4 linked regions of the Lytechinus pictus genome follow. The protein of the gene in region 2 purifies or fractionates together with the protein of the main gene of each other region. This does not show direct contact. Links are inferred from orthologs where the notes say so. Each region holds a gene or a part of one and is shown on either strand. Other genes may lie near its edges. The genes, in order: ran GTPase-activating protein 1-like, importin subunit beta-1-like, nuclear pore complex protein Nup50-like and regulator of chromosome condensation-like.

The links.
Region 1: the proteins of importin subunit beta-1-like (region 2) and ran GTPase-activating protein 1-like purify together in Homo sapiens (affinity purification with mass spectrometry; 3 studies listed by BioGRID and IntAct, with this or other methods). This does not show direct contact. The link is inferred for Lytechinus pictus from reciprocal best matches to the Homo sapiens genes KPNB1 and RANGAP1.
Region 3: the proteins of importin subunit beta-1-like (region 2) and nuclear pore complex protein Nup50-like purify together in Homo sapiens (affinity purification with mass spectrometry; 4 studies listed by BioGRID and IntAct, counting the BioPlex papers as one, with this or other methods). This does not show direct contact. The link is inferred for Lytechinus pictus from reciprocal best matches to the Homo sapiens genes KPNB1 and NUP50.
Region 4: the proteins of importin subunit beta-1-like (region 2) and regulator of chromosome condensation-like purify together in Homo sapiens (affinity purification with mass spectrometry; 3 studies listed by BioGRID and IntAct, counting the BioPlex papers as one, with this or other methods). This does not show direct contact. The link is inferred for Lytechinus pictus from reciprocal best matches to the Homo sapiens genes KPNB1 and RCC1.

The regions. Positions count from the first base shown.
Region 1 is NC_087254.1:11,050,595-11,057,497, forward strand, and holds the start of ran GTPase-activating protein 1-like, read left to right. Parts: upstream 1-3,886; 5' UTR 3,887-4,013; coding exon 4,014-4,122; intron 4,123-6,825; coding exon 6,826-6,903. UniProt on the Homo sapiens protein: GTPase activator for RAN. Converts cytoplasmic GTP-bound RAN to GDP-bound RAN, which is essential for RAN-mediated nuclear import and export. Mediates dissociation of cargo from nuclear export complexes containing XPO1, RAN and RANBP2 after nuclear export.
Region 2 is NC_087245.1:3,731,281-3,738,644, forward strand, and holds the start of importin subunit beta-1-like, read right to left. Parts: upstream 3,026-7,364; 5' UTR 2,968-3,025; intron 2,230-2,967; 5' UTR 2,047-2,229; intron 1,545-2,046; 5' UTR 1,539-1,544; coding exon 1,341-1,538; intron 1-1,340.
Region 3 is NC_087253.1:24,834,036-24,841,180, forward strand, and holds the start of nuclear pore complex protein Nup50-like, read right to left. Parts: upstream 3,003-7,145; 5' UTR 2,890-3,002; intron 1-2,889. UniProt on the Homo sapiens protein: Component of the nuclear pore complex that has a direct role in nuclear protein import. Actively displaces NLSs from importin-alpha, and facilitates disassembly of the importin-alpha:beta-cargo complex and importin recycling.
Region 4 is NC_087261.1:5,083,644-5,090,551, forward strand, and holds the start of regulator of chromosome condensation-like, read right to left. Parts: upstream 3,003-6,908; 5' UTR 2,886-3,002; intron 1-2,885. UniProt on the Homo sapiens protein: Guanine-nucleotide releasing factor that promotes the exchange of Ran-bound GDP by GTP, and thereby plays an important role in RAN-mediated functions in nuclear import and mitosis.

The sequences.
Region 1 (6,903 bases), on a different chromosome or scaffold from region 2:
TTTTTTAATGTTCATTGTGGAAAATTTACTTTCGCACCTGTATGTAGATCCAATCATGTTGAGAACAGCGCTCTAATAAGAAAGTAGATCGAACAGACAGACAGTTACAGACTCCACTAAACTTTGTTTAAAAGTAAAATTAATTTGACTGCCATTACTTTTATTACGGTTAGGTCTACATGGAAATAAATTATAATGTAATCATATTGAGGTATGTTTCATATTGTGACTTAAAAGTGATTGAAAAACTCCAGCAGAGTCTCGCGGGCCGGATTGAGAAGCTCTGCGGGCCGGATCCGGCCCGCGGGCCGTATAGTTTGAGAGCCCCTGCTCTAGCGATTATTCTCACCATACTTTATAATAGGTGAACCATTATATGAAACAGAATGATAGACCTAAATGTTAAAAAAATTTAGGTACATTTTTACATGTATAACCCGAAGTTCATGGCCTATATAATATGCAAGAAACCCTCTTGTATCATGTATAGGCCTACCTCGGCAAGTCATTAAATTGTTCGTGTATAGGCCTAGTTCAAGTTCAATTTCAAGTTTTATTTCTTTCCACTGAAAGGCACAAACAAATACATTAATTAATATATACAATATCCATGATGTTAATACAAATAGAATAAACTCATGAACAATGTGTTGAGAATATACAGAATGGGAAGGTGGTCTGTATAAAAGCAAAGCCTTGTTGAGCAGATCACCTTCGTAACAACAATAAAAATGCAAAAGACACAACAATCTGCATGAAAGAAAAGAAAAGAAAAAAGATCATATATATATAGGCTAGATAAAAGGTTAACGATATATACAGAAGGGACATCAAAAAGATTAAGAGAGATTTTTCAGATGGGGGGGGGGGGCAAAATCATGAATCAACGTTCCAATGGCGCTCGATCACACCAAACAAACTCACCCACCCACACACCCACACACACACACACACACACACACACACACACACACACACACACATATATATATATATATATAGTATACTGACCTGAAAACAGGAAAAAGATACCTGTTTAGGACTGTTTGTCGTAACTCATATGTGGAGAATATATCTCACTACACAGATAATGCGAGTGCCGAAAGCGAGCCGAAATTTCTTTATATTCTGACCTGAAAGCTTGATATTCTAATCATTTTTGGTACTAATTATTAAGATGGGTATATAAAAGAACAATGGATGCGAGCGCGAAGCGCGAGCTGAAAATTTTGATCTGAAAACTTTGACAGTTTAATGGACGTTTTTAATAAAGAGCAAGATATATATTCAACAAAAGATTATTGCAATCGGAGCGGGAGTTCTTTTGAGGTTTAGAACTGAGGACGGGTCCTTCTATTCACCTATTTAATCATGAGAAGTATGGGTTTTTGCTACAGAAATGATGCGAGCGCGAAGCGCGCGCTGAAAATTTTTATAACCCAATCTGAAAAGCGGACATTTTAAACACGATTTTAAATAAAGATCGAGTTGTTTATCTCAATCTCGCTTGCTGATTTCTGTGTAACATTGCAATCTTATTTTATTTTTGCACATGCGGAATTATTGGGGGGGGGGGGAGGCAAAACGATATGTTTGCCCTCCCCAATATTTTCATTGGTGCCGACCCTGCCCCCCCCCCCCCCCCAGGATCGACGCCTCTGATCCATAGAAAGACGGGGGGGGGGCAAATTGATTGATTTTATTCGTCAAGAATATCACAGGAGATTACAATAAAATTGAAGAATACCTTGACAGGATAGCCCATGAAAGCCGAAAGGCTTATTTCCAATGGGGTCCTATAGTTAGTATAAAACATTAACATAAAGGAGTGCATGCTAATCCAATTTTCTACAGTGAGTTTAAAAGGTAGACAGATCTATCACTATAAAAAAAATATATCACTAACAGGGTTGAAATTAAAAAAATAGAGAAATAAGTAAGTGCAACACCCAGTATTGGGAGTGAAATGCATGTACAGCGACACTACTATATAGTGCATGCCCTAGCTCCATAATGGCGTCGATTGCACTGCAAATCAATCCTATATCCTCTCATTATTTTATGCAGGCCAGATGTAAACTTTATTAAAGAAGTGATTACTATACGTATATCTAGAATGTATACATATATTATTAGGCCTATAGCTCATCGATCTACGTGCTTCCTACGCAGAGGCGTCGTCCAGGGGGGCAGGGGGGGGGGGCAAAAATATAGTTTAGCCCCCCCCCCAATAATTCCGCATGTGCAAAGAATAAAATAAGATTGTAATGTTACACAGAAATCAGCAAGCGAGATTGAGATACACACAGGCAACTCGTTCTTTATCTAAAATCGTGCTCAAAATTTCCACTTTTCAGATTGGGCGCTCGCATCATTTCTGTAGCAAAAACCCATACTTTTCATGATGAAATAGGTGAATAGAATGTCCCGTTTTCAGTTCTAGACCTCAAAATAACTCCCACTTCGATTTGCATTAATCTTTTGTTGGATATATATCTTGTTCTTTATTAAAAACGTCCATTAAACTCAAATTTTTCTGATCGAAATATCAAAATTTTCAGCTCGCGATTTGCGCTCGCATCTATTGTTTTTTAGATACCCATCTTAATAATTAGTACCAAAAATGCTTAGAATATCAAGCTCTCAGGTCAGAATATAGAGAAATTTCAGCTCGCGCTCGCATTAATTTGTTGGTGAGATATGTGTCTCTATCTCATGAGTCATATATGTATATATATATAGGCATATGTGTGTGTGAGTTTGTTTGTTTTGTGTGATCGAGTGCCTTTGGAAAGTTGATTCATGATTATTTGCCCCCCCCCCCCCCAATCTGAAAAATGGATCGACGTCCGCCCCTGTTCCTACGTTAACATCATGGAACAAAACTCTTGTCGTTCATATACAGTGCGTCCCAAGAAAAAAAACGAAACCACGAATTATATACTGTAGTAATAGATGCATCCCAGGTTTTATCAGAACTTGATTACAAATTTGACCTCACTGATAAATTATCATCGGTCAACCATTATAATAGCTTAGGGGTTTTGTCTGATGTAACTCATATTTTACCTCATTGTGTATGAGTGATTAGCAGAAACAATTTGAAGAATGAGGATAGACCTTTACCAAGAAGTTATTGACGTTTTATAGGCCTATCTGAATTTCAAAAAGACAATTTAATGTCTCAAAAATTATGATCTGTTCTTTAATTTGATACTTAATTCAAAGAGAATAACCCAAGAATAACCCTACCCAAAATAGTAGGGGGACACAATATTAAATATCCCCTACTATTTTACTATTTTTGGTTTATGATGGAAAGAAATACATCTTTCAAAATCGAAATAAAACATGTATTTTGGACGAGATGACCTTTTTTTTGGGGGGGGGGGTGAGAACCTTTTTTTCTTGCTTGCTTGTCAAATTTATTTTGGTCGAAATGAGCTTACATTTGGGGTGATGACCGGGGGTGATGACCTTTTTTTGTCAAATTTTGTCCCCCTTACCCGCCAAACGACCTTCTGGGGCCTCGGAAATGGGGGGGGGGGGGGGACTGCGGAGGCTTCAGCCCCCACACTTTTTTTCAAAAACCGTGTACAATAACGTAAACAGGACCATCTGATTATGATTTTTTGCATGGTTAGCCGCCCCCCCCCCCCCTTTCTTGTACTGTGGCCGCGGCCCCTGACTTTGTTATCTTTTATTTTTCTTCTCATATACCGTTTACAATCATGGATTATCATGTGAGTACCTCCAATTTAAAGAAGAGGCTCTAAAGCTTTGCATTTATATAGACAATTATAAATTACATTGTGGACATGATATGAAACAACGATGGTTCTCGGCACTCGGTGTCTGTTTTTTTTTTTTTTTTTTTGGACGCACTGTATATTATTCGCAGAATAATTCCCGAAATATAGTTTTCGGCGGGCGCACTTTCAGTTATTTTCGCGATCGCGAGACAGCGAAGAGCGTCCAGTTATTTTTCGATAGATTTACACTAAATATTCATCATGGCAGATGTTTCTGGTGTGACAGAATTATTAGCAAAAACATCAGTGGACCAACTCATAGAAGTGTCATTCTCTGGAAAAGGACTGAAGCTGAATTCTGCAGAAGATGGTGAGTGTCCGTACATTTCTTCTCGTGCATATTGAAGGAAGTGTTAAGTCCCATTCGTTTACTTTTGTGTTTTTGAATAAAGCCCATATTCATATATTGCATATTTTTATTTTACAAAATTACACATAGTAAAGTACCCAAATATCGGACGCTTATAAGCATGATTAATTGGAGCAAAGCGAAAACACAATCATTTAATCAAATAAAAATCATGTTTATTTCCGTAGTACAAATGTTGAATTTAGGCCCTAGGCCTACTCATAAAAAAAAATTGAAAAAATGATGATAAACGGTCGTTAGATCTAAGTTACGGTACTTCAGTTCAGAAGCTTGTTTTTTGCCAAAAATCGGATGCAGTTTCCCAATATCAAACGTGTAGAGTTGTGCGCTAAGATCAATTTGATATTTCGGCAATTTAAATCGTGCTCTAGACCCCAAAATAATTGTTTAAGTTAATTAACGGTATTTTATAGATGGCAAATATAGCGATCTTCAACGCTTATATATAAGCGTCGAAATTTGTAGCCATCTCCTTGTATTAGTCTATAATATACGACGTGTCAAATTGTAGCGAACTAGTTCGCTATTTCCAGATCTCCTCTATATATATATATACGAGGGGGAATTGTAGCGAACTAGTTCGCTATTTTCCATATCTCCTCTATATATATATATATACGAGGGGGAATTGTAGCGAACTAGTTCGCTATTTTCTAGATCTCCTCTATATACAAACGACGGGAAATTGTAGCGAACTAGTTCGCTATTTTTCGGATCTTAGTTCGCTATTTTCTAGATCTCCTCTATATACAAACGACGGGAAATTGTAGCGAACTAGTTCGCTATTTTTCGGATCTCCTCGATATATATACACGAGGGGGAATTGTAGCGAACTAGTTCGCTATTTTCTAGATCTCCTCTAGATACATACTACGGGATTTGTAGCGAACTAGTTCGCTATTTTTCGGATTTCCTCTATATATATATACGACGGGAAATTGTAGCGAACTAGTTCGCTATTTTCCAGATCTCCTCTATATATATATACGACGGGAAATTGTAGCGAACTAGTTCGCTATTTTTCGGATCTCTTCTTTTGTAGCGAACTAGTTCGCTATTTTTCGGATCTCCTCTATATACGACAGAAAATTGTAGCGAACTAGTTCGCTATTTTTCGGATCTCCTCGATATATACACGAGGGGGAATTGTAGCGAACTAGTTCGCTATTTTCCAGATCTCCTCTAGATACATACTACGGGATTTGTTCGCTATTTTTCGGATTTCCTCTCCCTATATATACGACGGGAAATCATAGCGAACTAGTTCGCTATTTTCCAGATCTCCTCTTTATATATATACGACGGGAAATTATAGCGAACTAGTTCGCTATTTTTCGGATCTCTTCTTTTGTAGCGAACTAGTTCGCTATTTTTTGGATCTCCTCTTTATATATACGACGGAAAATTGTAGCGAACTAGTTTGCTATTTTTCGGATCTCCTCTATAAAATTTTATACACGAGGAGGAATTAGTGAACTAGTTCGCTATTTTTCTAATCTTTATATATACAAGAGACGGAATTGTAGCGAACTAGTTCGCTACAATTCCCCCTCGTGTATATAATTTTATAGAGGAGATCCGAAAAGTAGCGAACTAGTTCGCTACAAATCCCGTAGTATGTATATAGAGGAGATCTGGAAAATAGCGAACTAGTTCGCTACAATTCCCCTTGTGTATATATCGAGGAGATCCGAAAAATACCGAACTAGTTCGCTACAATTTCCCGTCGTTTGTATATAGAGGAGATCTGGAAAATAGCGAACTAGTTCGCTACAATTCCCCCTCGTATATATATATATAGAGGAGATCTGGAAATGGCGAACTAGTTCGCTACAATTTGACACGTCGTATATTATAGACTAATACAAGGAGATGGCTACAAATTTCGACGCTTATATATAAGCGTTGAAGATCGCTATATTTGCCATCTTATTATTTCCCGTTAATTAATTGTTGCGCAAATTTCAATTACTATCAGTATCAATAATTTTGATATAGAAATCTTTAAATAATGATATTTTACATACCAAACGGACCTCTTTCGGCTCTGAACATTGGACGCCTTATCTCAGGCTCAGCTGCGCGCGACTTCGTTCTGAAAACGAGCGTGTACGCGTCAACAGCACGCATTTCCAATTCAATCGGCCGATATGACCGATGTTTGGGATCATGCCATATTTGGAAGGGTGTCAAATTTCACTCCGTAGGGAACCCCCGCGGAGGCTATTGCAGATTTTTTCTCGATAGATCGAACATGTGCGATCTCGGCTGCAATATTTCTGGCGGAAATCACTTCTCCCTTACGAGATTTTTTTTGGTCATCGATCTTTTAGAGTCGATAATTAGCGAGCGTGAGGGTCATAAGAATTTCAGGAAGTCAAAATCATGTATTTTACCGCTGGATTTATCCCCTGGAATATTTGTATTGAGCAGCAACTTGGAGCTACTAGCTACTGTGTGTGCAGTTCAATAGCAGGTACATGTTCATGTATCTTATGCATGCAAGTCCCCTGCCAGTGTGGGTCCCTGTAGTTATGGGGAGAGGGAGTTGAAGCCATTTCGTCCAAGACTTGGAACCGTCCGATGTTTGCGGACTTTACTCTACATAAAGTCATAATGTATAAATTTTTCTTCTCTCCTCAGCCAAGGAAGTTGTTGCAGCAATAAAAACCTGTGATGGGATGCAGTCATTGAAGCTGAATGGCAACACAGTTGGTGTGG
Region 2 (7,364 bases):
ATCTCTCATGAGTCTTACAGTGATCTCCGCAAAAATCTTGACAGACCGCCGAAAGATCATTGAAAGACTAGTAAGACCTTTGAAAGTTCATCGAAAGACCACTGAAAGACTGCTGAAAGACCACTGAAAGACCATTTTCCTCTAAGACTGTTCTAAGACTGTTTTGAGCCGTTTCAAAAAGTTTTGGAGCCCATGAAGACCACGAAGACCGCTGAAAGATTGGTCAGGACTCGTGTAAGACCTCAAAGACCATTGTAGGTTCATTGAGAGACCTCTGTAAGATCGACCAAAATTCATGGTCTTTGAAAGGTCTTTCAGCGGTCTTGCTCTCTGTGGAATGGCCCCTTTACTGGAAAATGGTCTTTCAGCGGTCTTTCTATGAACTTTCAAGGTTCTTATTAGTCTTTGCTTGATCTTTCGACAGTCTCTCAAGATTTTTTGGGAGATCACTGTAAGACTTATGAGAGATCATTGAAAAGTCATTGACAGATCATTGAAAGACCAGGCAGTCCATGGAAAGAATTCTGAAAGATCACTTGTTGCATAAAAGATCTCTGAAAGACCATTGAAGTCTAAGACTAGTAAGAAAAGAAATATCCATCAGTCTTTCAGAATTCTTTGAGGGTCTTTCTGAGCCATTCCACAGAGATGACAAATTTCAGTTATCTTGGAGAATGCTGTAAGACCTTGCCAATTTTTGGTCTTTCAAAGGTCCTTCAAAGGTCTCCCCTCTGTGGAATGGATATGTGACGTGCTAAACTCTATACAAAAGAAATAACACTTGAATTAAACCTTTTATAATCTGCTGACAGTACAATGTCCTGATATCTCAATTCCAAAAATTCATTCATTCCAATTTAACCATAATACTACCGATTTTTGTGGTGCAATTTTTTTTTACTCGCTGACTTTTTACTTTTAAGAGATCTTAAGGGGGCCTGTAATGCCCCCCATACTGACAAGAATAAAAATACCCTGGGAGTATTAGCGTGAAGGTATTTACAGCATAAAAATTCAAAGCCAAATACTTATGTCAAATCAAATGGATATCTCTCTGAATAACATATTTTACTTGTAAATCTTACAAGAATTGAGAAAAGTAGCAGCTTCTTCTTTCTTTTGTTGCACCTTGAGAACTCTACAGATTGTATTTGGCCCATTATATATTGTATCTATCAAAATTAGTAAATAAAAAATAATTTCATTTTTTTCCTCATTTTTTTAAATTTATGACAATGGAACAGATGTTCATCAATTTAAAAAAGCGTATTACACTACGCAACATATTCTTAATCACTCAAAACTGAAACAGGTTTGTTTTCTGATTGGCTTTCACTCACGATATCTTGGCAGATGTATCCGATAGCCTCTAAGGAACTCTGTTTGAGGTGGTCAGTGCCTTGAGCAGTGTTGAGGACATTGCTGACCAACTGAGGTAAAAGCTCTGGCCATAACTTACCAGGAAGCTCGGTACACGCTATTCCTGCTATACATTGTGCAGCTGAGCTGGGACCCTGGTACTCTGTACCCAATGTCATTAAAACCTAGTTTAAAAAGAAAAAAAAAGTGCCTGAGGATAGAGCAAGTGCCACAACAAATTTCATCCTATTCTTCACACCTTTGCATCATTAATACTTACATTACATTCATAAGTGCAAGGAAAGGATAATAGAATCCTGGTTTTTTTCTCCTCTCTCTCCTTAATAAACAGCTACAGTGGATATTCTAACACAAGCTTCCATCAAATAAACTACAGTAAAAATGAAAATAAATAAATTACAAATGATTATAACTGTAAAGAGATGAGTGCAATATTATCATAGGCATGTTGGCACAACAAACTTTACTGATTACCAAAGCCAACCAAAATCTTTTAAAAAAATTCAACTTGACATTCTTGTTTGCTAGAATGAGAACAGGTTCAAATTAACCTATTTCCTTAATGGTACATGTAGCTTGATCAAAAGACAGTTATCAGAATATAATTTAGCCTGACACTTGAGTCTATTACAAAAACTATGAAAAAAAAACATGTAATCAATTTACTTGTCTCTTGATATTGTTCCTGACTTCTGCTGAGAGCGCTAACCATCTTTGTTGGAGCTGAAGCCGTATATTGGGATCTTTGGATACAAGTGCATTCTTCAGCTGTAAACCCGCTGCAATGCGAGCGACATGAGCCTTATCGGCATTTGCAAGGATCTCAGAAAGTTGAGTGAGGAAAAGCGGCTGTACAAGCAAAATAAAACATTATTACTGACACAAAAATTGTAGCCACTGAATTATTTAAATATGTGAGTTTTGTGTATCATTACATGTAAATGCCTTACAGATCAGAAAAATTAAATTTAAGTGCATGTACAGAATATTATACAAAGCCTAATTACATGCAGCTTGTATTTGTACACAAGCAGAGGGTAGGATACACCAGCTACTATCATACCAATGTGCATGTATCCAGCATGGCCAGTTCAAGTTAAAACAGATACAATTCATTGCCCTGGCTGGCTACATAATCTAGGCCTTAAATTTTGTGAATTTTAGGGCAAGGTCAGTTTGGTTTAACATAACTCATATTTTAATAATAAACTATTGTTTTGATAAAAAGCCAGCATGAAATGGGACAAAGATTAAATACCTTTCTGATACAGAATAAATGAATTTTATAGAAAGGGATTATTCAGGGAAATTGATAATTTGATAAAGCGGTCAAAAATCCATCAAACAAAAGTAATATAACAATAACTACAAATTTGAATAAAAGTTAAATACATGTACATGTACATGTATGTAATTCACTATTGAACCTCTTCCTAAACCGTCAGAGAGAAAAAAAGGGCAAACTAAAATATTCTCCTCCATACAGTACTACTTTCCCTCATACATACATGTACCTAATTATCATAGTTTTACAAAAGTCTAGGTTTTTGTAATTAAAAAAAAAAAAATGACCAAGTTGTTACTTACCAAATTTTCCCTGGCTTTCTGTTCTAGAAACCTCTGTGCTGCTTCTAGCTCCGCTGTGTCTGGATAAGAAAATATAATCACAAGTGTTTATACATTTCATAATTTAAAGATTTGATCATGTCATAAATGGTGGGAAAAAAACATCTAAAAGTGAATGAAAAGTATATTTTGATTATTAGGTAGGTAAGTATATAGTGATATACTGCAATATCTAATAGTGCTCGACTGTGTAGGAGCTGAGTATAAATAATTTATTGGTTGGATTGCTTAACTAAGCTAGTCGTACAGACTGTTTCACCCTAAGGCTCATCAGCGACTCTGATGAGCCTTAGGGTGAAACAGTCTGTACGACTAGCTTACATGTAGTTAAGCAATCCAACCAATAAATTATTTATATTTTGATTATTATACACCTAATAACTGTTGTACAGTGTGCTGTAGGATTTTCATCCAAGTGATAAAACAAATCAAATAACCATTTTCCACATTAATGCATGTATTGGACAAACAAAAATGTTCTGTCAAAATATTTGTTTCATAATTTTTCTGTTAGGGCATCAAATGTTTGACCAATGCTTTGCAGAAATCTGCTCAATTTTGCAGAGTCACATCCACACATGAGTGCATACGTGTATGGGACATCACACAAATGTTCATTAAAGGTCAAGTCCACCCCAGAAAAATGTTGATTTGAATAAATAGAGAAAAATTAAACTAGCAAAACGCTGAAAATTTTATCAAAATCGGATGTAAAATAAGAAAGTTACGACATTTTAAATTTTTGCTTATTTTTCAAAAAACAGTGATATGCACAACTAAAGTGAGGCAGTCGATGATGTCCCTAACTCACTATTTCTTTTGTTTTTTATTGTTTGAATTATACAATATTTCATTTTTTATAGATTTGACGATAAGGACCAACTTGACTGAATCATATAGTATTAAACAATGCTCATTCCACATGTTCAGGGAGGAATTAATTGTTGTTTCACTTGGCAATGAGGAGAAAAATAGAATATTTCATATCATAAAATACAAAAGAAATAGTGAGTGGATGACGTCATCAGTCTCATCATTTTCATACCCACCAGGATGTGCATATAACTGTTTTGTGGAATTAAGCATAACTTTAAGCATAACTTTAAAACTTTCTTATTTTACATTCGATTTTTATGAAATTTTCAGAGTTATACTTGTGGATTTTTCTCTTTTTATTCAAATCAACTATTTTTTGGGGTGGACTTGTCCTTTAAGAATATTTTAGTTATTTTCCCACTACAATTTGATTGTTAGAGCATTTGAAGTCAGAGCAATACTTTGCAGTGGACAATTTTAAAATATTTACTAGGCAAGCCTCCACATTAACTTTTTTTGGGGTGGCCCATTCGGGCCACCAATACTTTCGTAAGTTGTTTTTTTTGGTGGCCCAACATTAAAATTTGGTGGCCCGAAAAAGTATTTTAAAAATATTGAAATTATAAAAAGCCTTAAACTGTACCGTCAAGAACACTAAAGCTTGTTTATGTTTTCTTCGATCTACACACAGACACAAATAGTCTGATCTAGATCTATACATTTACACTTGTTAGCAAACCACATTTCTGGCCATGAGCTCGCTATCACCAGTGTTAAACATTACTTTATTTTTCTGCCATTGAAAAAAAAAGAAAAATTACCAGGCCATTTTCAAATCAAGTGGAACGCCTCTGGCAGTCTCGCCTGCATTACGCAATTCGATATAGCAGCAGTGCTTCCTTTGAAAAACAGCTAATATTAATAATAATTATTCACAGAAGAAAACACTAATAAGATAATAAAATATTATGTCCATTGACCCAAAATGACCTTTGACCATGATCATGTGGCCTAAGACATGTGCAAAACAATCATTCATACTTGATTACCCTTATGTCGATGTTTCATGTGCAAGTACCATTAACTTCCTAAGTTATGATGCCAATTCAACACATACATGTACTCCCAACATGGCCAGAGTTCATTGACCTTTAAATGACCTTTGATCGTGGCCATGTTCCTAAAACAAACACAGGGTATTCAGGGATACAATGCTGCTCTTATGTCCAAGTTTCATGAACTAAATCCATAGACTTTTAAAGTTATGATGATAATTCCACAAATACCCCCAACATTACCAGTTTGTTGACCCTAAATGACCTTTGACCTTGGTCGTGTGACCTGTAACTAGCACAGGATGTTCAAGGATACTTGATTGCTCTTATGTTCAAGTTTCATGAACTAGATCCATAAAATTTCAGTTAAGATAATTCCTCAAATACCCCCAATATGGCCAAAGTTCGTTTACCGTAAGTGACCTTTGACCTCGGTCATGTGACCTGAAACTCGCGCATGATATTCAAGGATACATGGTTTCTCTTATGTCCAAAATTCAAAACTTCAAAAACTTAACCTTGGTTAAGATTTCAATGTTGACGACGCCGCCTTTGCCACCGCCACCGTCGGAAAAGCGGCGCCTATAGTCTCACTCTGCTATGCAGGCGAGACAAAAATTAGAAATTACCAGGGCCATTTAGGTTGCCTTTCCTACTCTGAATGTACCCTGGCATTTCCTGTGGATAGCGATATGGAGTTTCATGACAAAGGAATAAAAAAATTAAATAAATTATGCACATATCAAACCTAGATTTAAAAAAAAATCTTCACTTGTCATATCTTATTTTTCTCATCAATTTTTTTTTTCGTAGTTAGCAGTGTATCCTTCCTCCTTTTGCCTCTTTTCTCCTTCAACTTTTTGCGGATTTTTGCATATTTTCGTTCGAGTTTACTTATTCTAATCCTATTTAATTGTAGTTCCTTATCCATCCGAACAACCGTCGCCTTTCTTTCTTCTAGTGATGCACCTTTCCTCAATTCTTTTCTTTTAACATTTCTCAACTTTACGATCGTCTCTACTAATCTTTTCCTACATGAATCTAACTTCATCTCCATCTTTCCGTACTTCTTTTCCATCACTTTCATTTCTCTTACCTCTTTTGGGGGCTGACCATATTTGGTCGCAGGCAAGAATTACATGTATTTACATTTTGATCACTTACTTTACGCTCACCCTACAATATTTACAACTCTTCCCTTTTGCCTTACATGTACTACTACTGACCTACTCCGTTCCCTAACAAACACTTCTCTCATAAATTCATGAAGCTTATCTTCTTTGTACCTGCTAACGCGGATCGTCAAACATTTTGTATTTTTTTGTAGATATGTTGAGCACTTACATTATCATCAATATAAACAAGTAGCTCAGTTAACAGTGTAAATTGCTTCGTACACATTTCCTGGCTCTTTGCCCAATTATATAATACATTTGCTATTCCATTCGTCAGACACTCCCAACCAAGCTTCTACCAATCACTCTCACAACACATTGCCAATTGCACATCTCCAACAGTTACACCAATCTCACTACAATATGGACCCAGTTCAACCACTGCACTAACTTTGTACTCCTTTATGCTCTCGCATCCTCTTCCATTACTACACATTTTCTTAACCTTTCTTTTCATGTTACCAATATATGAATTATGACACCATTTACAGGTCATTTATTAAAACTCTCTCTTAATAGGTGTAAACTTTCATCGGTCGATATATCAAAGTCTGGCCGGCTAGAAAATTCACACCAGCCTCCCATTGTATTCACGGTTGCCTGAAGCTCTCCCGTCTACGTCTCCTCCGACTTCAACAAAAGTACCATGAAACACTGCGTTGCATCTTGATGAAATATTTTTTATGTACCGACTTACTTCTTCCACTGACATTGTTGTTTGGTTGATTATGATTGCTGCCGTGAGACTTTGATATATCGACCAAAGATAATTCCAAAATTGATGTAAAACAGGGGATGATAAATAGATCAAAATACACCCGCACACACGGTTGAATGATTACACCATGATCGATGAGTCACTAAGTTTACATATATGCAAATTATCCACCTGAATGTGTGTAAGCAATACACTCACGTTCATTCACAAAGTACATGTAAAATTACATTGAAACTCTATAGCATTACGCACAGCGACACCTGCGATGAACTTTGAATCCTCGTGCAGGTTGGGTACGTGACCACAAAATGCTTCAAAGTTGACTTTTGCTCCAAAATCTCTGACCATTTGTGCGACCCACACGAACTTGCATGTTAGCACTCGCGCTGACAAACCAGTGTTCAAACAGGTGAGGGGTCCTGACAAAAACATAATAAAACACCACGATCTCTTGATATTTCAACATTGATTAGCTTGAGAATATATATATTTGATGATGATGTTGTCATGGTTGTTGGCTTAGTTTGATATAGATCTACGGTATATTGAATATTTTTATTTGTGATGGCAAAATCATGAGACATGTCGTATTTT
Region 3 (7,145 bases), on a different chromosome or scaffold from region 2:
GATGGGGAGCATTTTATGAAGATTTTTCAGTGGTTTCAACAACAGATTTGCTTTCCGCCAATCACATGCGAGGGTTTGTCATAGCTTGTAACATCCCTCTATAAACAAACAAAATCACCGACAAAACTCTTTTTGAAACACTCCCCAGCCTGCCTTTTGACCACGTGGTGTCTTCAACAAAGTATCAACCTTGGGGCGTTGACTGACAAACCACAGGGATTAACACTTGTTTTTTTCTTTATGCAAGTTTTTTTTTCTCGGACTGCTCTTAACTCTTTTTTTGGGGGGGAGGGAGGGGGTGCTGGGCATCGACAGACAAACCACATGGATTAACACTTTTTTTTTCTTAGTGAAAGTTTTTTTTCTCGGACTGCTCTTAACTTGTTTCAATTATGACAAGTTTACTTTTATACAGCCTGCTACAAAAGTCGTTTGACACCCCCCCCCAAAAAAAAAATACATACATAAATATAAAAAATAATAACAAATAAATAAAAAACATGGAAACAAAATGTTACGCCATCCCTCTTGGTTTATTTTGAAAATGATCTGTGAAGTGATCGTGAATGGAAGAAAATGGCTGGAATATTTGTGTGATTTGTGATGGGTGATGTATCCTTTTTGTGCATGTGCGGTCATGAATAAAATGAAATAAACTATTGGATTGATTTTAATTTAAATTTATGATGGACTGGTGGCGTGATAAGATGATCAACTCAATTTTGGCATGTGTGAAAGATAGAATTGACATTATTAAAATGAAAAAGTATTGATGACCAGGACTTGGGGGGGGCAAAAGACAGAAATAGAAAAAAGGGGGGAAGATCGAGACTCGGAGAAGAGGAGGATGTTGATTGTTTGTGGTAAGAGAGGGGTGGTGACGGGGAGAGGATGGGCCGATGGGAAAGAGAGAGTGAGGAATTAAGGGGCTGGGAGATAAAGAAAAACAAAATCAAGAAAAAAGAGTGAGAAAGAGGCGGCCGCGGGATAAGAAGTCAAGGGGGAGGTTTTTACTTTTTAGACAACATGTGGAGATTCACAAGAGGGAGAAAACATGGCCTGAAGGGAGTTAGCTAAGAGGGGGGGGGGGGGGTTCAACACAATGGACATAAGAAAAGTTATTTACGAGATGTCAAAATTTGAGGTCAACAAACTTTGAACCTTCGACGAACACGTGTTGATGTGAGTGGTAAAAAAGGGGCGTATCTAAATGTGAATGAGTGGGGCCAAATCGGTGAAGGGAAAATCACGCAAATCTCCTTGACTGTTTCAGCAGGGAATTTGGTGCTTGGAACTTGGGGCATGTACACAAGTTTAGCAAAATAGCAGTGAGTAGGTGCGGTATAGCATTTGGTAACTTGACTACATCTAATTCATTTCAGCATGGAGATAGGATTAATAAATTGTACCACGTGCTTGCTGAGATAATTTCGCGCACGTGCACTGTGCACAGGTAACTCTCTCTCGCCGTCTCGGTGGGGCCGGGAGAGAGCATGATCGTATAACTTTTTGCTCAGGTCTTTATAATAGTTGGGACTTGAAATACGATAATTTCTCATTTTCTAATCTCTCTTTAATAAACAAATCATGATTATTTCCATTTGAAAATCTAAGGTTAGTGGTGACTTGCAAGGCTCAAGACAAGTCTCAACTTCGTCATTTTTAATTTTTTTTAATCTATGAAAATATGTTTGAGAAAGTTTCTGTCAATGAGAACGGACCATGCTGAGCATTCCTCAGCTGACCGCAAGCATCCACTCTTTATCCGAGGCCATATCAGGGCTAAACAAACATTGGACACTGTTTGCACAATCAAAATGAATTGGGAATTTACACCGGTATTAGTCGGTATACCGGTATTGAAGCAATTAGTAATACCGGTATTGAAAATATCAATACCGAAAAAGCTTATACACATATGGTGTAACTGATATTGTAATCCGCTAGGTGTGACGGGAAAAAACATAGGACTATACAGTAGGAAAAAAAAAAAAAAAAAAAGTATATGTGAAAAAGAGGAAGCAAATTGCCTAAAAAGGTAAAAGCAAATATAGAAGAGAGGGGGTGTATTTACTATTAATGAAGAAACCATAGTATACATTGTAAATAAGCAAATGTGGTATTGGTAAATCTAAAAGAGGTGAGTGGAGAAAAAAAAAAGTAATATATACTCCATTGGCTCTCTTTTATTAGATAAGCAGTTTTCAGCAGCTTCTTTTTGCCAAAACAAAAGTAGACGGTGAATATTGACGGTGAAAAGGGGTAATTTTTCATGAGGAATCTGCTTATCACATTTTTATCTGCCGCCAACATGGCCAAGGTAATCCTTTTGCAGCAAATGTAAACAAAGGAAATTGGACTCCAAAACTGGAGACTGTCTCTGAAATTGGATACCCAAATTCTTTACAAAAGTCTCTGATATTGGAGATAATCTCCCACATGAGTCTCCAATATTGGCCGTGCGCCTCTAGGCTCTACTGCAACTTGCAAGTCCTTTCATGAAACGCCCCCCAGATCTAGGCCCTAACAGTAACATTAAAAAGTTGGAGTCTGGACCACATTTTTTTCTAAAAATACTTAATCATGACACTTACATGAGTCCCATCCTTAACTTTCACCATCAAGCGAGTGCAGTGGTACTTGTAGATCTAACGTTACTTGTAACTTAATTTGTAGGCGCTGCGAGCGCGAGTGGACCGAGTTACCAGAGCTCAGAGCCACACAGCCGGCGCCGGCCCACCCCAGCGGCAGCGCACCCGGCACATCCGGCGCGGCAGTGGGGGCTAAGCCTGGCCGGTAGCCGGCTGCTGGTTACAGTTAATAGACGCAACATGACAACGTACATATTAAATAAGAAAATCACAGATATAATATGAGGACTATGCTGACCTGTTTTGGGGCTGAAGCTATGAATACTCGTCATTTATTTCGTAAACGGATGTTGACTTTCCACTTCATTCATTTCTGCATGTAGCGCGCCATTTTATAAAATGTCAATGAACAACAGAGGGCGGCAAAGCATTTTATGCAAGCCCTATATATAATAGGGCCTTGATTTTATGCAGAGTAGTAATAACTCTGATTTTATGCCTCAGCTCCCTCCCTGACCCTGCGCCTGCCAAGTTCAGTCTGACATATGAATTCAGAAAATGAGGGATCAAACATTATATTGTTCTTCTAGCGTTTATGATGTAAAAACTAGGGGGGGGGGTTCTTATTGAATATTTGAATTCACAATCACTTCAAGTCCAAGTTCAAGTTTATTTTCCATATCCATTATCAACATAAGCAAATACAAATCAAACATACATTATAAATATAAACAAATACAAAAGAAATATGATATTAATGATTACAAATCAATTGCAGGTTCCAAAATATTTGTAAAATAGTTTTGACACAATCTGATATGGAAATGAGGGGATCCACTAAAAAGCATTGCTTGTAGAGCGTGGATCCCCTAAGAAAGTATATTAAACATTTGAGAAATCGGACTCATTTGCAGGTGTAAATACAATAGGTTGAAATAGAATATTGGAAATAATAAAAAGATGGTGAGTAATAGCGAGAAATGATAAAAAGATGACAGAGATATGGGACGATACTAAAAACTAAAAAGAAAACAAAGACATGATGAAGAATAGAGGGCAGAGAGAAGGAATAAAGTACTGAAAGGGGAGCGAGGGGGAGAGAGAGGGCGAATATAAGTGGGGGGAGAGAGAGAGAGAGAGAGGGGGAGAGAGGGAGGCACACAAACACACACAGACACAGATTATGTGGAGAGAAAGGGTCGGAAAGAGAGAGATAAGGGGGGGGGGCCAAGAACGAGAGTGCAAACGTGGATCAAAGAGAGCGTGACTTAATAGCGTGCTTAGATATTACTAAAAAAGATACGAACTAATTGATTACTTTGGTAAGACAGTAACATAATTTTTTTTAGTTTTCTCTTAAAGGAGTGGATAGAGGGGGCCTGTTGAACATCTGTATGGAGTGAATTCCAAAATTTGGGGGCGGTGAAAATAAAAGTATTTTGCGCAAAACGAGTTCTTAAGATAGGCAGATGAAAGTTATCGGCTTGTCTGGTATAGATACCTATGAAAATTTTTATTTTGAGAAAAAAAATTGGTATAAGTCTTGAACCTTTAAAATTTTGTAATCAAGGAAAAGCGGATTAGTGTGAGAACGGGGGTGTGAGAATAAAATAATACGAAGGGCTTTTTTTTTGTAATAATAATATTTTGTTAAGTAAACTTGGGTGGGTATTGCCCCAAACAAGGATCCCATAGTTTATATATGGTAATATAAGAGAAGAATATAATGTAAGTAGAGAAGTTACAGGAATAAACGTTTTCAACCTATTTATGATGCCTTTATTTCGGGATATTGTTTTACAAATATTATCAATATGGCATTTCCAGGAGAGTTTGTTATCTACGTGAACTCCCAAAAATTAAATTGAGGAGACACTTTCCAGTTGAAAATCGTCAATAAAAATGTCAAAAGGTAAGGAATCTATGGTATTACTGAATAAAATGTATTTAGTTTTTTGAAGGTTAATTGATAATTTGTTAGCTCTGATCCAATTCAAAATATTAGTTAATTCAGAGTTTATTATGTTAACAAGTGTAAGCGGATCATTGTGAGAGAAGAATAGATTTGTGTCATCAGCAAAAATAATGAAAGATAAAATGTCAGATGCTCTGCAAAAATCATTTATATATAAAATAAACAAGAGGGGTCCCAGAATACTTCCTTGTGGCACACCACAACTAATATTACACAAATTGGAGGAATGGTCATTAAGAAAAACAAATTGTTTTCTGTTAGAGAGGTAATTCCTGAACCACTCCAAGGCCTTCCCACGTATGCCATAATGCAACTTGACTAGGCTTACACAGGGGCGGCGGAGCGAAGTTGAAAGTGGGGAGGGGGGCACAATAGGAATAAAAATCCACCTTTTCTTTGGAAAAGAGCACTATATCTTAAAACAAAGAAAACTAAATTACTATCCCACTGATTGATTGATTGATTGATTTTATTTGTCAGGCAACTATGAACAAGTACAAGAAGATATTAACAGAAGTGTATACCTTGACAGGATAACCCATGAAAGCCGAGATGGCTTATTTCCAATGGGGTCCTTACATCAGTAATTGAAGACAATGTACATCTATGAAAAAAACACCTATAGAAATCTACAAACTACATAAATTAAGTCTAGACCACTAAATTAACACGATAAATTGTAAAACTTAATATATAAAAAGACAAAAGCAAATAAGTTTGCCATGAAAAACACGCAGTCAACAAAATATGATTAAAATAATTGTTAAAAAAAGGTTGAGTAAACGATCATTACTTCTAAGTTACATATGAGAATTATACTAATAATCAATTTTTAGGTAGCGGTAAATGCATCGTAACTAATACAAGATTCATGAATCGTAAAACCTAAGATATGAAAAAGTACAAATAAGTTTGACATCAAACTTTCACGCAAACAACAAAAGATGATGAAACAATGTAAGACAAGTTTATTAAAAAAAATCATATCTAAATAGTTATATATAAGACTACAATATTTAACATTACAGAGTGGGGACGTTTTTAAAGTGTTGTTTCAATACTCTTTTAAATTGTGAAAAAGTCTTAACCGATTTAACATGATTAGGGAGGGAATTCCAAAAATGTATACCTTTATAATAAAATGTGTTACCAATTTGACCTTTTCTCATAGGTACAACAAAGTTAAACAGACTATTTCTTGTTTCATGCCCGTGAATATTAGATGACCGTGTAAAATTTTTTGATATGTAATGATATTCGTTTGAATATAAAATTTTATGAACATGGTGAAGTATAAGTTGTTGCGACCTCAAGTCTATGCGAAGAAGGCCAGCTTTTTCGATTTCATTCTTCCCAACATGTGTTCTTGGGTGTAAGCAAGTAATAAATCTAACAATCTTATTTTGAATAATTATAAACTTTTTTTGATCACCCTTTCCAAGACTGCAGTACCATGCTGCATTAGCATAATCAAATAAACACTGTATTAATGAAAAGCTTAAAATGCGTCTGGATTTCGTATTCATGCAATTTTGGTACCGGTATAGAAATTTCAAGCGAGCATTATAGCTTTTTTGACAATAGCGTCAACCATGGATGTACATGAGAGATCACTATTTAATATCAGGCCTAAATACTTCACGGAATTCTGTCTCTTAATTAATTGATTGTTATAGTATATATTGAAATCATCTGTATGCTTAGACTTACCCCGCGAACAAAACAAAATACTTTCAGTCTTACCAACATGTAAGCTAAGCTTGTTATCTATCATCCATTTAACACAATTTGATAATTCTAAGCTAAGTTTTTCACCGATCAGCTTAGGACTTGTATCAGAATAGAGTAAAACACTGTCGTCTGCATATACAAGTAATTTACTTTCATCAACACAAATACACATATCATTGATATAGCACATAAAAAGAATGGGACCTAATATGCTCCCCTGTGGAACTCCACACTTTATAGGCATAGAATATGAAAGTACATTTTGCATGGATACCACTTGACGGCGATTGGTCAAGTAAGACCTAAACCAATTCAAGCATGCTGAATTCAAACCCATCACTTCTAATTTCTTTAAGAGTATTTCATGATTAACCGTATCGAATGCTTTTTGTAAGTCAAGAAGAACCATGCCAACATAACGGCCTATGGAAATTTCATTCCTAACAAAATCCAACAAGTGAATTAAACATGTTTCAGTAGAATAACCATTCCTAAAACCAGACTGAAATTCATAAATGATTTTGTATTCTTTAAAGTATTTCTCAATTTGAGAATACACGCATTTCTCCAAAATTTTCGACACTATGCTTAACACACTAATAGGTCTATAATTGCCAACGTGAGTTTTGTCTTTCTTTTTGTGTAGTGGTGTGACTTTAGCGATTTTCATTTCATCAGGGAAGGTACAAGTTGAAATAGATAGGTTAATAATGTAAGTTAAAGGTATAAAGACGTTTTTTGCACCATCCTTTAAAAATCTAGCAGGAACCAAGTCAAGTCCGGTACTTTTTGATATTTTCAAGTTGGATAATTCATCTAATACAATCTTTTCTGTGACAGGAGAAAAA
Region 4 (6,908 bases), on a different chromosome or scaffold from region 2:
AAATGTTGAAATTTCGAAAACAGCAATAGTCAAAATGTAATTTCCACTTACATTTTCCATATTCCAGCCCATTTCCATCTGAATCAAGCGATCGTCATGAGATAATTAGGGTTCTGAACTTCGCATTCGCCGGGGAGTTTCTGTGATCGACGCCATATTTGTTAGCAGCATTGTTTACTTCCGGGTTCTGAGGGTTGTGGGTAAACTCGTCTTTTGCAAGATTTTCACTTCGATACTACATGCAAGATGGCTTCTCGCGAAGGTAAGAATATTTCCGAGAATTTTTCGTAAATATTTGATTTTTTCTACTGTTTTTTCTGCTTTTTGAGAAGAGTGATTATGAGCGTAAAAATTTCGGATTTTCCCCCGCACTTTGGAAGGCTGTAGCTCGATAACCATATGGGTGGAAGGCAATAGGAAAGTTATTTCTGATGTAGTCCCACATATAGATAAATTTGCTGACAATGTTTCTGCTGATGATTGAAATAGTCTTTAATCATGTAAATTCAGGTTGAAAGTATACAAATCTTGCTTTTTAGTTTTAAAAGTGTATCCAATGATTCTCAAGATCAATTTTAATCATTTTTTTAATGGCAAAAGAAATTTAGGTCCTGTCATGTTGATGATTTCAGCTGCTTGATGGAAACTTTATATCTATTCAAAAGTAGAATTAGGAAAAGAGAAAGTAAAAAAAATTATAATTTGAGGTGATTGGGAAGGGGGGGGGCTGAGGAATTGTGTTGTTCTGTGACTGTGTGTTTGTTTATTGGGGTAAGGGGCTTAATCTTTTTAAAAGAGTGTTGGGGTGCTGTGTTTGTCTTGAACATAAGACTTAGAAATAAAATTGAGACAGGACATGGTGGTTAGGGGGGGTTGCTGATGAAGCCTGTAAAAGGGTTTTCTTCTTCCTTTTTTTTAAAAAAGTAACTCTACCCTTGTAGTACCTAAATATTTTTATTACTATTAATTGATTGGTGTTCTGATCTAATTCCTTACCTTCATTTGATATTTTCCCCTCTGATTTATTATTAATTGTTTTGTGTGTGTATACCACTCTGCCATTTGCACACATATATCGTGAAATACACAACAGCTAATTGTAATTAATATGCAAATTAATGCATGGAATAAAATGCAAATGTGCACAATAACAGAACTTGCTTGATGCACATCTTTAATTTGTTTCAGTGGAGACTGGAATTTTACTTCCAATCAGAACAAAACTTAGTGCAAGAATATTCTTCAGTCACAGGTAGACCTACTATGAATGTGAATACAAGTTCACCTCAGCCTATGCGCTAAATGCTGCTCATTTGCATATATAATTAGATGCTAATTAGGGTGTAAGATGGCAAGATGAAATATGATTCAGCATGTTTAGTCTAGAACAATTAAATGTATATACATTGGACCAAGATTGTTGGCAATCTTGGTCTAATTTATTATTATATATAATGTAATAATAATAATATAGGGTATTTATATTGCGCACCTTGTTAGGTGCTCAAGGCGCTCCTATATTACCCGGCTAAGCTAGGCGTTCATAGCGCACACAGCTTTTTAAGGAATTACTTCCTACCGGTACCTATTTACCTCACCTGGGTTGAGTGCAGCACATTGTGGATCAGTTTCTTGCCGAAGGAAATTACGCCATGGCTGGGATTCGAACCCACGACCCTCTGTTTCAAAGTCCGAAGACTAATCCACTGGGCCACAACGCTCCACATGCATCACGCCACGTCACCAGATCATTGGCAGAACATTTTTAATATTTGCATAATGGATTATGCGTTAATTTAAATAAGCTTTAGTTATTAGGAAAAACTGTACTCTTATTACTTAGATAGAAAATTATATCCCCTTCAAAATGAGTACAAATAAGCTGTGGTTTATTCCAAAATAAAAGAATTCATTTGGCTTAGCTAATTCTACTTCAAAGTGGTCGAGGGGTTGGTTCCTGCCCTTCCTGTTGATAAATTTCTAATGAAAGCAAGACATTTATAACGTAATATCAAAGCTAAGAAATTTGTAAACTTTGATGCTACTAACTATGTTGTATGTGGTAGAGAAACAAGTAACAAATAACTCCAAGTCATTTTCTCAATAAGACAGTTAATGTAACGCAGAGCAGTTAAGAAATTCTTTTTTTGTGAATACAACGTTCGTTGGCCTGGAATCAACTCCCTAACGAAGTTGTCAGCAGTACCGGTACATCACCAGAGGTGTTACAGTTTATTAAAGCCAAGAATAAATTAAGATCGAAGAAAGCCACTACGTTTCGACTAAACTCATTTGCGCCCTCTCCTTACCCGGTGCATTAAACTATTTGCGCCCTCTCCTTACCCGGTGCATTAAACCTAACGGTCCTGCACTGTACATCCAGATCCAGATATCTAAAAATAATGAAGATAAAATTGTTCTCAAAATACCAATTCGGAGAGATTTTAAGGGTATTTTATCTCACTGATTTTGAAGGAGATAAAATATTTTATTAGATCTGATTCTGAGATAAAATGGATCTCAGTCAGAATACCACCCCAAAAGCATGAAATGACCTCACATATTAACGGGAGACAGTTAACGCGCCGCCTGGCTTGAAATAGTGACACTCATTCTCAGCTGGTACGGTACAGGAAATGCGATAGCGCGGCGCAGCGCTTGAACTTTGAAGTTAAACGCGACGGGTCAAGCCGCGAGGCCGAGGAGAAACACTGCGCCCACATATTCATAATCGCGTTGTATGCGGTATGTTAATTGTGCGAAGTTCGTTCGAAATATTGTTTAGCTTATCTCACAACCAAAACATACAAAGCACTTCAAACACAAATAATAATATCTATTTCATCCTTCAAAACAAGTGATATTGTCAATAGTTGGAAACTGACCTTTATAAACCAAGCTTTATTTTGTTTTCTCCGACAAAAAGAGTTGCACGTAACACACGTTTGCCGCCTCCGTTTAAAACTCGATGGTATCTCTAGCTCTGCGAATAAAGCCAGAAATGAAAAACTGGGATTCCGCATGCGTATGGAATTTTCCGAAATTTATTATATTAAGTGGTTTTAATTTTGTCAATAATTTTCTTTGAGTAGGCCTATAGGTTGAGTTTATTCGAACAATTAAAAAACACAAACAGCAAATTTAATATCATTTCTAAAACAAAATACCAAAAACTTTGAGAATCATAATACTGTACATATCACTGATGCTTTTGAACTTCTGTCTGTTTTGGAAGCAATGAATGATCTATGGTGAAAGCCCCCCCCCCCCCCCCCATAAGCATGGTAACGTATTATGCATAACTCTGATATAAATTCATCATCTCTTATCAAGTGAATAATATGAATAAACTCCACTTCACATAACTTTAAAAAGAAACTATAATGGTAATCCACTATCCAGGTTTCAGGATGGAGCACGGGGGGGGGGGGGGTCGATGGGCAAATATACAATTTAAAGAATGTCAAAACTGGCTGGTATTTTAAGCACAAGCGCGTCGAAATATTGACAACTTTGTATTTTTATGTCAAGTTGGATAGTTTTATATTAATTTCCAATGCCTTTAAAAAATATAAAGTATTTGCATTCCCTTTTTCTTTTTTAAGATAAAAAAAGTGGGAGGGAAGCAAATCGGTAATTATGTTTGCCCTCCAATATTTTCATTGTGGGCGATTGCCCCCCGCCCTTATGATCGATGCCTCAGATGATTTTATTTAAAAAATGAGGGCGTGTCATTTAAGACAATAATTTTATGATCTTGAAATTTAGGTGGTATACTTATATATTTCTAGTCTCTAGAGTGATGCTGAAAACACGGATACCGTCGTAATATGGATTACTAAATGTTTTATGAGTATCATTCTGTTTAATTTGTTGTATTACACATCAACTGACAATTTTTTATCATTGTTTACCATAATATTAGTTTGCAATCGTTCCATATATTTTGTTTTCAGTACACATAATTTTGCGAATGGTTTTATATGTTAAGTTTCAGTTCTTTAAGTTTTTTTTAAATATTTTATATGTTTAGTTTTTAATCACCATAATTTTTTTTTAGCATTAATATGACTTGTATTCAATTTGAATATTCGCTTGTCCATGATAGAAACATCAATTTACTTTGATATTTTACTTTTTCATGCTCACATTAATACTTTTACCTATTTATGCACCGCTTTGTTCGAATTTGATTCGATTTGATTTGATATATTTTGTTTAAAGTTTTAAACACGGTAAAACAGCACTCGATCAGCCAATGGCTTGTTTTCAGAGAGGCCGTGCATAAAACGAAAACCTAAAAAAAAAAAACTAAAGTGGGGTGAATGAAAGATAACAGAAACAAAAACAAAATAGTAACAAAATAAAAAAAAATAGGTAAAAAGGAATAATCAAGATTCCAGAGGGCGTTGCATAAAGCTGTTCGTAAGTTAAGAGCGACTTTAAGAACGACTAGTTAACCTTTCTTGTAAATGGTATACTGTACACCAAAATGTTCATTGGCGATGGTTTAGGAGTAAGAAAGTTTCACCAGTTGTTCTTAAACTTGCTCTTAACTTATGAACAGCTTTATGCAACGGCCTCCTGGACTCTTTCAATTTCAGATTCAAGTTAATTATTCGTCTGGGTCCAGTTTCAAAAGCCACAATCAAAAGACAACTTTTTTTTTTCTTATTTCTTTATTTTTATATATAGACAATGATTTCCTCATGCACTCTGTTATTTAACCTTTCACTTTCTGTAATGGCAGCATAATTTGGTCTTTATTATTGTGATAAATCATACAAACAATATTTCATTTTGTATATGCATTGTTATCTGTGTAAACGGTATATCATTTCTTGTTGTTGTTGGACGTTGTTCTTGTTCTTTTTTCTTCGATATTTTTTCTCCTTCTCCTCCTCCTCCTTTTTCTTCTTCTTTTCTTCTTCTTCTTCTCTTCTTCTTCTTAATTTTTCGTTTCTTCTTCGTCTTGTCTTTGTAAATAGTATATCATTTCTTGTTGTTGTTCTTCTTCTTTTTCTTCGATCTTTTTCTTCTTCTCCTCCTTTTTCTTCTCCTTCTTCCCCTACTTCTCCTCCTTCGTCTTCTTTTTCTCCTTTTTATTCCTATTCTTCTTATTCGGAGGAGGAGGAGATATATCAAGGAAGGGATAAATAAGACAATTACACAGGAGGGATACTAAAAAGAGGAAGAAAAGTGAAGAATTTTAAAAGGGGAAGAGTTGGCAAATAGCAAACTTGTTTTTAACACTATATCAAAATGCAAAATTCCGCTTCACGCTTGCATATCCTAGAACGTGAATGTTCAAACAGTTGTTCGCGCTTCTCACTTCTTTTAATGAAGCGTAATGAGCCAATATATATACAGTGCGTCCCAGAAAAAACGAAACCGAGATTTAGCGATGATTTATCATAACTTAATCATAAATAAAATAGACAAATGACCTACCAATGTAAAGCTTAGAATCTCCTCTTTCATCTGGTATTACTTAGATTATTCCTCATTGACGCATTATTGAGCAAAAAGATTTCGAAGAAAGGATGCCAAAAACTCATTTGGCGGGGGGTATCTGAATTTCAAAAAGAAAATCACATGACTAAAAAGTTCAATATCTTCTTTTTTCTTTGATACCTAAATCACAGAAAATTGTCAATGCTTGTATTTCCATAATTTCATTAAAAGGAGAATGAAACTCTTGGAGCAAGTTAGCTTTTGTGAAAGCAGAAAAATCAAAAAATAAGATCAACAAAAATTTGAGTAAAATAGGACTAGCAATAGAATAGTTATGAGCATTTGAATGTCGAGATCACTTATGCTATGGAGATCCTCCCATTGGCAATGCGACCAAGATCTATGATGTCACAGGTGAAGAACTCTCCCCTTTTGGACACTGAAAATATACCCCAAAACATCTCTTTTTGCTCATTCTAATCATATGACAAACGATTCATCAATGATTTAATGTTGTGAAACCTCTGTACTTCTCCTCTCATAAAGAGAACACCTCACATTGTGATAGACTCTATAAAAGTGAGAATATAAATGAAATAAAGGGAGTTGTACGTGTGTGACATCACAGATCTTGGTCGCATTGCCAATGGGAGGATCTACATGGCATTAGTGATCCGATCATTCAAATGATCATAACTTTCTTATTATTCATTCAATCTTCCTCAAACTTTCAACAATATGTTTCTTTGATTTTTCTCTTTGATATAGATTCAGCTGGTTTCAAGGGTTTCATTCTTCTTTAAATAAACGTGTTTTCACTGGTTTCCCACAGAAGCTATCGCACGGTAACAAAAGACTTAAAGGGGAATCCAGCCTTTGCCATAAAATGTTGTGTTGGGAAGGAGAAAAATAAATTAAACAGAATGGTGAAATTTTGAAAGAAATCGGACAAACAATAAGAAAGTTATAGCTGCTTTAAAATTGGGATCACTAATAGTATGTAGATTTCAAATTGGCAACTGGGTAAGTAAATTATGACAAGGGGCAAGGACAACTTTCCCATAGGCCATGTACTTTATTATCAGGGTTTTGTGGTTTTCTCCTAAGTACCCATTCCCCTGGGGCAGTAATCTAAATATAACCCAGGTGGTATATTGTTAAATGTCCTCATAAAAGAAAAATGTAATTTGAAATAAAACTTTTCGGAAAAATGACATTTTAGCCATAATATGTAATGGAGTACATGGAAGAGTAGTCCTTGCCTTACATCACTATGACATCCCATATGTGGCCAATTTGAAGTCTCCATGAGTATAGTGATTACCAATATTTACAACTTTTAAAAATTCATAACTTTCTTGTTGTTTGTTCAATATTGTTCAAACTTTCACATATCAACTTGTCTGATTTATCTTTTTCTTATAAAAACAAGTTTTTATTTGGGTTGGATTCCC